Linked DNA regions of Canis lupus familiaris. The protein of the gene in region 1 interacts with the protein of each later gene in a pairwise test. Links are inferred from orthologs where the notes say so. Each region holds a gene or a part of one and is shown in the gene's direction. Other genes may lie near its edges. The genes, in order: TNS2 and SHFL.

Region 1 (3,799 bases):
AAGCCCCCCTTCGCTTGCAGCTCTTCAACCTTTCAGAGAAAAGACACGACCTGACCCGCCTAAACCCCAAGGTAGGAGGGGATTAAAGCCATTAAGCTGAGCCCCCCCCAATCCCCCCCAAACTGCCCCCCCCAAGCCCCTGCAGCCTCATTAATAGTAGCGATTGGCATCCACCTCGTTCTTACGCACTTTCCCGGATGACTTGCTCCCCGAGACACTCCAAAGCATGGCGCAGCAGGTACCAACCCATGTGCCAGCGAGCAAGTGTGAGGCTCTCCTGGAGGACCAAGAGCCCCTTGACCCTGGCCCCGACTGACCCTACACCCGCTCCCTCTTCCAGCCCCACCCGTCTCTCTCCGGTCGCGGCCCCCACCCTCAGTTGTACCCCCACACCCGCCCAGGTCCAGGACTTCGGCTGGCCCGAGCTGCACGCGCCCCCCCTGGACAAGCTGTGTTCCATCTGCAAAGCCATGGAGACGTGGCTCAGTGCTGACCCACAGCACGTGGTCGTACTGTACTGCAAGGTGGGCTGGGACCTCGGGTTCACGGGGCTGGGGTGCCCTGAGCCTGGGGCGCCGGCTGGCCCTCCATTCCCCTCTCTCTCTCTCTCCCCCTGTCCTCAGGGGAGCAAGGGCAAGCTCGGCGTCATCGTCTCCGCCTACATGCACTACAGCAAGATCTCTGCAGGGTGAGGCTCCCTGGCCCCTGACCGGCCCCTTCCCCAGTGACCCTGTCTCCAGCTGCCGGTGATGGGCCCATCCCCCTTGAAGCCCCCCTTTGTGTTTGGAGAGCCGTTTCCTATAAACTTGGCCTTTCCACCTCCTTTTTTCACTTGTATCTCACCACAGTTCCCAGCAGAGGATTTGTATCAGGTTCCCAGAGCTGCTGTAACAAAATGTCACAGACTGACTCAGTGGCTTAAGACAACAGGAACTAGTTGTCTCCCTGGAGACTAGGAGTCTAAAACCGAGAGGCCGGCAGGGCCGCGCTCCCGCTGAGACCCCGAGCAGGACCCTTCCTTGCCCCTGTCTAGCTTCTGGTGGTGACCAGCAGTGCTTGGCGCTCCTCGGCTTGCCGCTGCGTCCCTCCAGCCTCCGCCGCGGTCATCACGTGGCTTTCTTCCTGTGTGTGTGTCTGTGTCTGTCTGTCTCTTCTCTTCTTCTAAGGGCACCCATCATAGTGGATTAAGGGCTCATCCCTACTCCAGTATAACATCTTAATTAATTCCATCTGCAACGACCCTATTTCCAAATAAGGTCACGTTCTGAGGTACATATCTTTTGGGGAGACACAGTTCAACCCATAACATGGTCTCATCACCCCCGTTTTACAGAGGAGGAAACTAAAAACTCAGGGAACACTTGCCTGAGGTCCAGCGAGTAGTCAAGTGACTGTATGTGGGGCTTCTAGTTCTTTCCACCTCCACCCCGGGGCTTCCTCTAGAGTTAGGGGATCACACATCTCCTCCCTCCCCTGGGGCTTGGGGTTGGGAGGCCTGGACAGATACCAGCCCCTAATCCCCCACACTTGGCCCTGCGGTCCCCAGGGCAGACCAGGCGCTGGCCACGCTTACCATGAGGAAGTTCTGCGAGGACAAGGTGGCCGCGGAGCTGCAGCCCTCCCAGCGCCGGTGAGCAGCCGGGGTGGGGCTGGGCCACCGGAGCAGCGCGGGCCCCGAGGCCGAGGGTCGCTCGTAGGAGCAGCACACCCGCGGGACACAGGGCCTGCGCTGAGAACTCAGGCCCAACACGGTCCCTGCTCTCACGGAGCTTGTGGGAAAGACAGACTTGCAGGACAGTCGGAGCCCACCTCGTCATGGGAAGCAGAGGGCTGGGGGGAAGAGCAGGCTAGGCGGGGGAGCCAGCAACTACAGACCTTTGAGACGGCAGAGGGTTGAGGTTAGATGTGAGGAAGAACTTTCCAGTGAGCCGGGAGACGGGAGGGGCGTGCTGAGAAGGGCCGGCCTTCCAAGGCTGGGCAGGGGTGTGCTTAGTAGAGATGAAACAGAGGGACCTCCAGGGGCGAGGCTTACGTCCCCCCCTCCTGCCCCCGACCCCCGCAGGTACATCAGCTACTTCAGCGGCCTGCTGTCCGGCTCCATCAGAATGAACAGCAGCCCCCTCTTCCTGCACTACGTGCTCGTGCCCGTGCTGCCAGCCTTTGAGCCCGGCACCGGTGAGTGTGCCCCGAGGCGCCCCGCGGGGAGGCCTGTCCTCCAGCCCCTCCGCTGAGCGCCCCTCCGCGCCCTCTCCCGCCTGCCCCTCCAGGCTTCCAGCCCTTCCTCAAGATCTACCAGTCCATGCAGCTGGTCTACACCTCGGGAATCTAGTGAGTGCTCTGCTCCCGGCCTTCCTGCCCTTCCAGCCTCCCCAGGCGCCCCCGCCTCCAGCTCCGGCCACTGCACCTGGTGCACCAGGAGGGAGAGGCTGATGCTGAGCAAGCTGGAGGCGTCTCACTGGGGCTCAGACCCCAGGCTCGCGGCTCCCTCCTGACGCCCCACACCCCCGCCGCCACCCCAGCCCCACTGCCTCCCATTCAGCCTCTGTCCCGTCCCTCTCCTCCTCAGTCACATCGCCGGCCCCGGGCCGCAGCAGCTCTGCATCAGCCTGGAGCCGGCCCTCCTCCTCAAGGGCGATGTCATGGTGAGGGGGCCATCCTGGGGAGGGGGTGCATGGGGGGGCGAACGCGCCAGCTGCACGGTCTCCCGTGAGTCATCCAGAGGCCCACTGGCCGGCGGAGAGCCCGTCCCCAGCGAGGGCATCGCCTTGAGCTGAGGCAGGGCAGAGCCGCAGCCTGACAGTCCCCAGGACGGAAGCACAGAGGGGACGCCAGCGGACAGGAAGGCCTGACCCCCGGTCTCCCTTCCCTCATCCAGGTGACCTGCTATCACAAGGGTGGCCGGGGGACAGACCGGACCCTTGTGTTTCGAGTCCAGTTCCACACGTGCACCATCCACGGACCACGGCTCACTTTCCCCAAGGACCAGCTGGACGAGGCCTGGGCTGGTGAGTGGGAGACAGGTGTGGGGCTGGAGCCCGGGGAGGGGGCGGCCAGGGGACCTGGCTCCTCACCGTGTCCCCCGCCTCCCCTCCCAGATGAGAGGTTCCCATTCCAAGCCTCCGTGGAGTTCGTCTTCTCCTCCAGCCCTGAAAAGGTCAAAGGTGAGAGCCAGCCCCGGTCGGGCCTACAAGTCGGGGCTGCAGGTCGGGGCTGCAGGTGACACCCCGGCCCTCAACACCTGGGTGGCCCTTCCGCAGGCAGCACCCCACGGAATGACCCTTCGGTCTCCGTTGACTACAACACCGCAGAGCCCGCCGTGCGCTGGGACTCCTACGAGCACTTCAATCAGCACCACGAGGACAGCGTGGACGGTGCGGGGCCGGCCCGGCCGCCCACTCCCTCCCTCCCCGCCGCAGACGCCCCTGAGCTGGAGCCTCCGGCAGGCCCCGACATTCACTCCCTCCCTGGTCCTCTCCCGCCAGGCTCCCCCACCCACACCCGGGGACCTCTGGATGGCAGTCCCTACGCCCAGGTGCAGCGGGCCCCCCGCCAGACCCCGCCGGCACCCTCCCCGGAGCCACCTCCGCCCCCCATGCTCTCCGTCAGCAGCGACTCCGGCCACTCGTCCACGCTGACCGCCGAGCCGGCCGCCGAGTCCCCTGGCCGGCCTCCCCCGACGGCCGCCGAGCGCCAGGAGCTGGACCGCCTCCTGGGGGGCTGCGGGGTGGCCGGGCCGGGCCGGGGCGCCGGGCGGGAGACGGCCATCCTGGACGACGAGGAGCAGCCCCCCGCGGCCGCG
Region 2 (4,592 bases), on another chromosome or scaffold:
AGTGCCTGGAATGGTGCCTGGCGCAGAGTCAGAGCTCGATATGATGGCCATCATCGTGAGCATCTAGCAGATCTGGGGATGCCTGGGTGGCTCTGTCAGTTAAACATCCCAACTCTTGGTTGCATCTTAGGATGTGATCTCCAGGTTGTGAGATCTAGCCCACTTCGGGCTCACACTGGGTGTGGAACCTGCTTAAGATTCTCTCTCTCCCTCACCCTCTCCCCTCTCCCCCTGTTCAAAGGCTCACTGCCTCTCTCTAAAAAAGAAAAAAAAGAAAAAAAGAAAGAAGAAAGAAAGAAAGAAAAGAAAGAAAGAAAGAAAGAAAGAAAGAAAGAAAGAAAGAAAGAAAGAAAGAAAGAAAGAAAGAAAGAAAGAAAGAAAGAAAGAAAGAAAGAAAGAATCTAGCAGATCTGGTTCATGTCGGAGCTGGATCAGTTTCCCACCTGTTTCCTCCCTGCTTGTCACCCACCCTGGCTGCGACCTCCTTCTCCTCACTGGTAAGTGGAGATTATGTACTATATATCACAGATACGTGTATAACAAGAGAGCCCCTCCACACCTCCCCACCTCCCTCAGTATAAAATCCCAGGTCCTCTATGCAGCTACAGGCCTGGCTCTCAGCCTGAAATTCCACATTCAGTCACAAAGAACCATGAACTGTTTACACTCATTAATAGGCTCCAGACGGGGCACACAGACCCACAAACAAAGCTTTGGAGGTCAAGTAGAAAACATTAGAACATCTATACTTTTTCATCTCCGTTTCTTTTGGTGTGTGTGTGTGCGTGTGTGTTAAAGAATAGCTTTATGTAATAGGGGCCTCTGGCTGGTTCAGTGGGTGGAGCATGTGACTCTTGATCTCAGGGTCACGAGTTCAAGCCCCACCTTGGGTGTGGAGCCTATTTCAGGGGAAAAAAAAAATTGTGCTGGCCCAGAGGATTCTCAACCTTCCGATTTACAGTGCAGATTCCCAGGCACCCCTGGACTACAGGCTGTTGCTGGACTGCTAGGCACCAGTGACCTCTATTTATCCAACAAGCATCTCCTCCTTCGCCCAACTACCTCCAGCTGTGGCACACAGTAGGCGGCTTAGTGACTCGTTAGGCTACCCCATGCCAGGTGCTACTAAGCGCTCCACCCCGGGTCTCGAATCCTGGCAATCACACCCAGCCACGATGTAGCCGCTGTTATCATCCCCATTTTACAGAGGAGTAAACTGAGGTGCAGACAGGTCCGGACGTAGCCGCGGAAGAGCCTCAGAGCGAGGAGGGGCCCCAGGTCCCGAGGGAGGGGAGCTGCGAGAGCGATGAAGTGGGGAAGCGCGAGCTGGGGGGGGCCCGGAGATTCGCGGCGGCCTTGCGATGCGGCCCCGCCCCCACGAGGGACGTGAAGACGCGGACCCCGCGCAGCGTGGGGACATGTGACCGACTGCAGAGGCCGCGCCGCCTCCACCGCCCGAGGCCCGCGCGCTCCGCCGCAGGGTGCAGACCCCCGGCGCCCGCGGGGCCTGGGGCGCGAGGGCAGAGGCGGAGCCGGGGCGGAGCCAGAGCGCCCCGTCCACGCCGTCACCCCCAGCAATCGAAAGCGAAAGAGGGGGCCGAGAAGGAAGGGCGGAGCCGCCCGGAGGCCCCGCCCCCTGCCCTGCGCGGCTGCTGGACCCGGGCGCGCCCAGGTAGGGGGGCTCCGAGCGCGCAGTGCGGCCCCTCGCGGAACCCGCGCCGCCGCCGCCGCCACCATGTCTCAAGAAGGTGTGGAGGTAGGAGATGCCTGCGCCTGGGCCGGGGGCCCCCGAGAGGCGCCGGGGGCGCCGAGGGGGCTTCGCAGTTCTGGGGACTCCATCCGAAGCCCAGACCTTACCCCTGGCGGGCACTCGCCCCCCCTCGGAAAGGATAATGACCGCCCCGGCCCCCCAGAGTGAGATGCGGCCTCCTCGAGGAAAAGGGGGGCTGCAGGGTCAAGGGTCAGAGGCCAGGTTACCTGGCCGGCCTCCTCCCCTAGCCGGGGGCGCTCGCCCCACTCCGCTCCCTCCCCCAATGCCCGGTGGGGACTTTGGCTTCTCCCAGGAAATGCCGTAGAGGGATGGTGGGGGAGGCCAAAAGCAAGGGTCAAGTTCGGGCGGGGAGAAGGATGCCTAGAGATGGAGGAGGGCAAGTCGCCCCTCTCCTTCCCCGATCGGAACCCCCCTGTGCCCACCCCAGCTGGAGAAAAGCGTCCGGCGCCTCCGGGAGAAGTTTCATGGGAAGGTATCCTCCAAGAAGGCGGGGACTCTGATGAGGAAATTTGGCAGCGACCACACCGGAGTGGGGCGCTCCATCGTGTACGGTGAGCCGGCTGGGGTCCCGGCCCTGGTAGGGGAGAGGAGGGGGGAGCGCGCGAGGGAGGTGTGGTCTGTGTGAAGAAGCGCCGCGCTCATCTTCTGGGGAGGGTCTATATTGGGGTTCTGGGGACCCTGAAACTCCCAGAAGATCCTTCAAGGACCTTTTACTTACACTTAACTCTTGCCACCAGGGGTAAAGCAGAAAGATGGACAGGAACTGAGTAATGACCTGGATGCCCAGGTAAACTGCCCCTCTTGCCCTCCAAGGATGGGGTAGCTGGGGACCGGGAACGGAAGGAACCTGGTGTATCCATGATGAGCCCCATCTGTGCACCACCAGTTCCTAGTTCATGATCCACATTGACTTAGTCACCTTTTAGTCATGCGTCTGACCCGGGAGCCTGCAAACTGTCGGCACTCATTACATGTTGGTGGTATTAAGTGGGGGAGAGAATCGTGAAATTGGGCGGTGAAATGAATCAGGACTGATGTCATTACAGAGGACCCCTGGAGGTCAGTCGGGAAAGGCTTCCTGGAAGAGGTGGTGCCAGCTTTGATGCTGGGGAGAAGGGATCCTGGGTGGTGGGGGAGTTGGAAACAGTCTTCCTGGAAGAGGGAACAGAGTGAGCAAAAGAACACGCAAGACAGGCTAAGATAAACATGAGATGGGGGAGGAGAGAGGGCAGGGGAGCCCATATGATGAATGAATGGCTTTGAGGCACAAATGCAACATGGCTACTTTACACCTTAAATGACTTTGGTGGCCAGTGCACTGTGCATTTCATCTTCCTATAAGGCCCCCCCCATAGTTGCTGAAGAGTATAATAAGGTACATATTGAGTTATTTATATTTACATGTGTAAAGGGTATGATAAAGGTAATAGGAGGGGCGCCTAGCTGGCTCAGTCTGGGGAGCATGCTACTCTTGATCTCAGGGTCGTGAGTTCAAGCCCCACATCAGGTGTGGAGCCTACTGAAAATAATTCTTTAAAAAATTATAGGAGGGACGCCTGGGTGGCTCAGCGGTTGAGCACCTGCCCCTGGCTCAGGGCGTGATCCTTGGTCTCAGGATCGAATCCTACATCGGGCTCCCTGCCTGGAGCCTGCTTCTCCCTCTGCCTACGTCTCTGCCTTTCTCTCTCTGTGTCTTTCATGAATAAATAAATAAAATCCTTTAAAAAATAATAATAAACAAATTAAAAATAAAAGTAAAAAATTATAGGAAAGTGAGCACTCCCCAGCAGCAGGCTTTCCGCGTGTTGCCTCCAATTCCAACCTGAAGGCACTCGCCAAGCAGGCCAAGCAGGTGGCATTTAAGCCGTTTCCACCTAGAACCATAGCTGCGCTCTGAGATGCCCCTCATTAGGGATGCAGGGGGAGTGATTTGGCTCCGCCCTCGCAGCGGGAAGTGCTGGAGTCGGATGGGAACCTGTGTCTGTCTGAATCCAGAGCCCAAGCCCTTAGCCTAAAGCGGCATGGACTCAAAGAGGTGACCCCTCACAGTGCCACCAAGTGTGTGGCATTTACCAGCAGGGAGGGAGCGCGGGGATCCAGGCCTCTTCTGCCATTCTCATTCAGGGTGATCTCCGGCCACCCCTCTCCCAGCTCTGCCTCAGTTTCTTTGTCTGAGCGGTGGGGATAATAGGTGTGCCCTCCACTGTGAGGACAACTGAGGTCGTGTACCTGGCCATCTACAGGCAGGCCCTGCTCAGACAGCCCTTCCTGAGTTAGGGACTCCCTACTCATATGGGGCCAGGACCCTGCCTCCCTCCTCGTCCAGGAGCCTCACCCCCAACAAATAATGGTAAAAAGAGGTCTGAGCTGCACCCGCAGTTCCTGCCCCTGATGTTTCCACCCAGGACCCACCGGAGGACATGAAGCAGGACCAGGACATCCAGGTGAGTCCGGGGTATGGGATGGGGGGAGGTGGAGTGAGGAGGACATCCTTGGGGAGAGTGGATGGTGTCCATGGACGAGGAGAGACATTATAGCAGCAGGAGAGGAGACTTACGCGTGTTCATATTAGCGGAGGAGGCGTGACCACCCTCTTGTCCCTATCCCGAAGGCCGTGGCGACGTCCCTCCTGCCACTGACAGAAGCCAACCTCCGCATGTTCCAACGTGCGCAAGAAGACCTCATTCCCGCCGTCGATCGGCAGTTTGCCTGCTCCTCCTGTGACCACGTCTGGTGGCGGCGCGTGCCCCAGCGCAAGGAGGTGATCACCCGATCCCCATCCTCAGTATCTGAACCTCTGACCTAAGAATGTCAACCCCTG

Evidence for each region.
Region 2: the proteins of TNS2 (region 1) and SHFL interact in binary tests that used the Homo sapiens proteins (3 or more experiments, as listed by UniProt). The link is inferred for Canis lupus familiaris from reciprocal best matches to the Homo sapiens genes TNS2 and SHFL.

Annotation. Positions count from the first base shown.
Region 1 is NC_049248.1:44,543,265-44,547,063, forward strand, and holds part of TNS2 (tensin-2), read left to right. Parts: intron 1-20; coding exon 21-71; intron 72-401; coding exon 402-524; intron 525-623; coding exon 624-688; intron 689-1,166; exon of another isoform or gene 1,167-1,269; intron 1,270-1,546; coding exon 1,547-1,630; intron 1,631-2,062; coding exon 2,063-2,175; intron 2,176-2,267; coding exon 2,268-2,328; intron 2,329-2,566; coding exon 2,567-2,642; intron 2,643-2,875; coding exon 2,876-3,005; intron 3,006-3,095; coding exon 3,096-3,161; intron 3,162-3,257; coding exon 3,258-3,371; intron 3,372-3,482; coding exon 3,483-3,799. UniProt on the Homo sapiens protein: Tyrosine-protein phosphatase which regulates cell motility, proliferation and muscle-response to insulin. Phosphatase activity is mediated by binding to phosphatidylinositol-3,4,5-triphosphate (PtdIns(3,4,5)P3) via the SH2 domain.
Region 2 is NC_049241.1:51,360,721-51,365,312, reverse strand, and holds the start of SHFL (shiftless antiviral inhibitor of ribosomal frameshifting protein), read left to right. Parts: upstream 1-1,605; 5' UTR 1,606-1,735; coding exon 1,736-1,756; intron 1,757-2,198; coding exon 2,199-2,322; intron 2,323-2,508; coding exon 2,509-2,558; intron 2,559-4,176; coding exon 4,177-4,215; intron 4,216-4,382; coding exon 4,383-4,532; intron 4,533-4,592.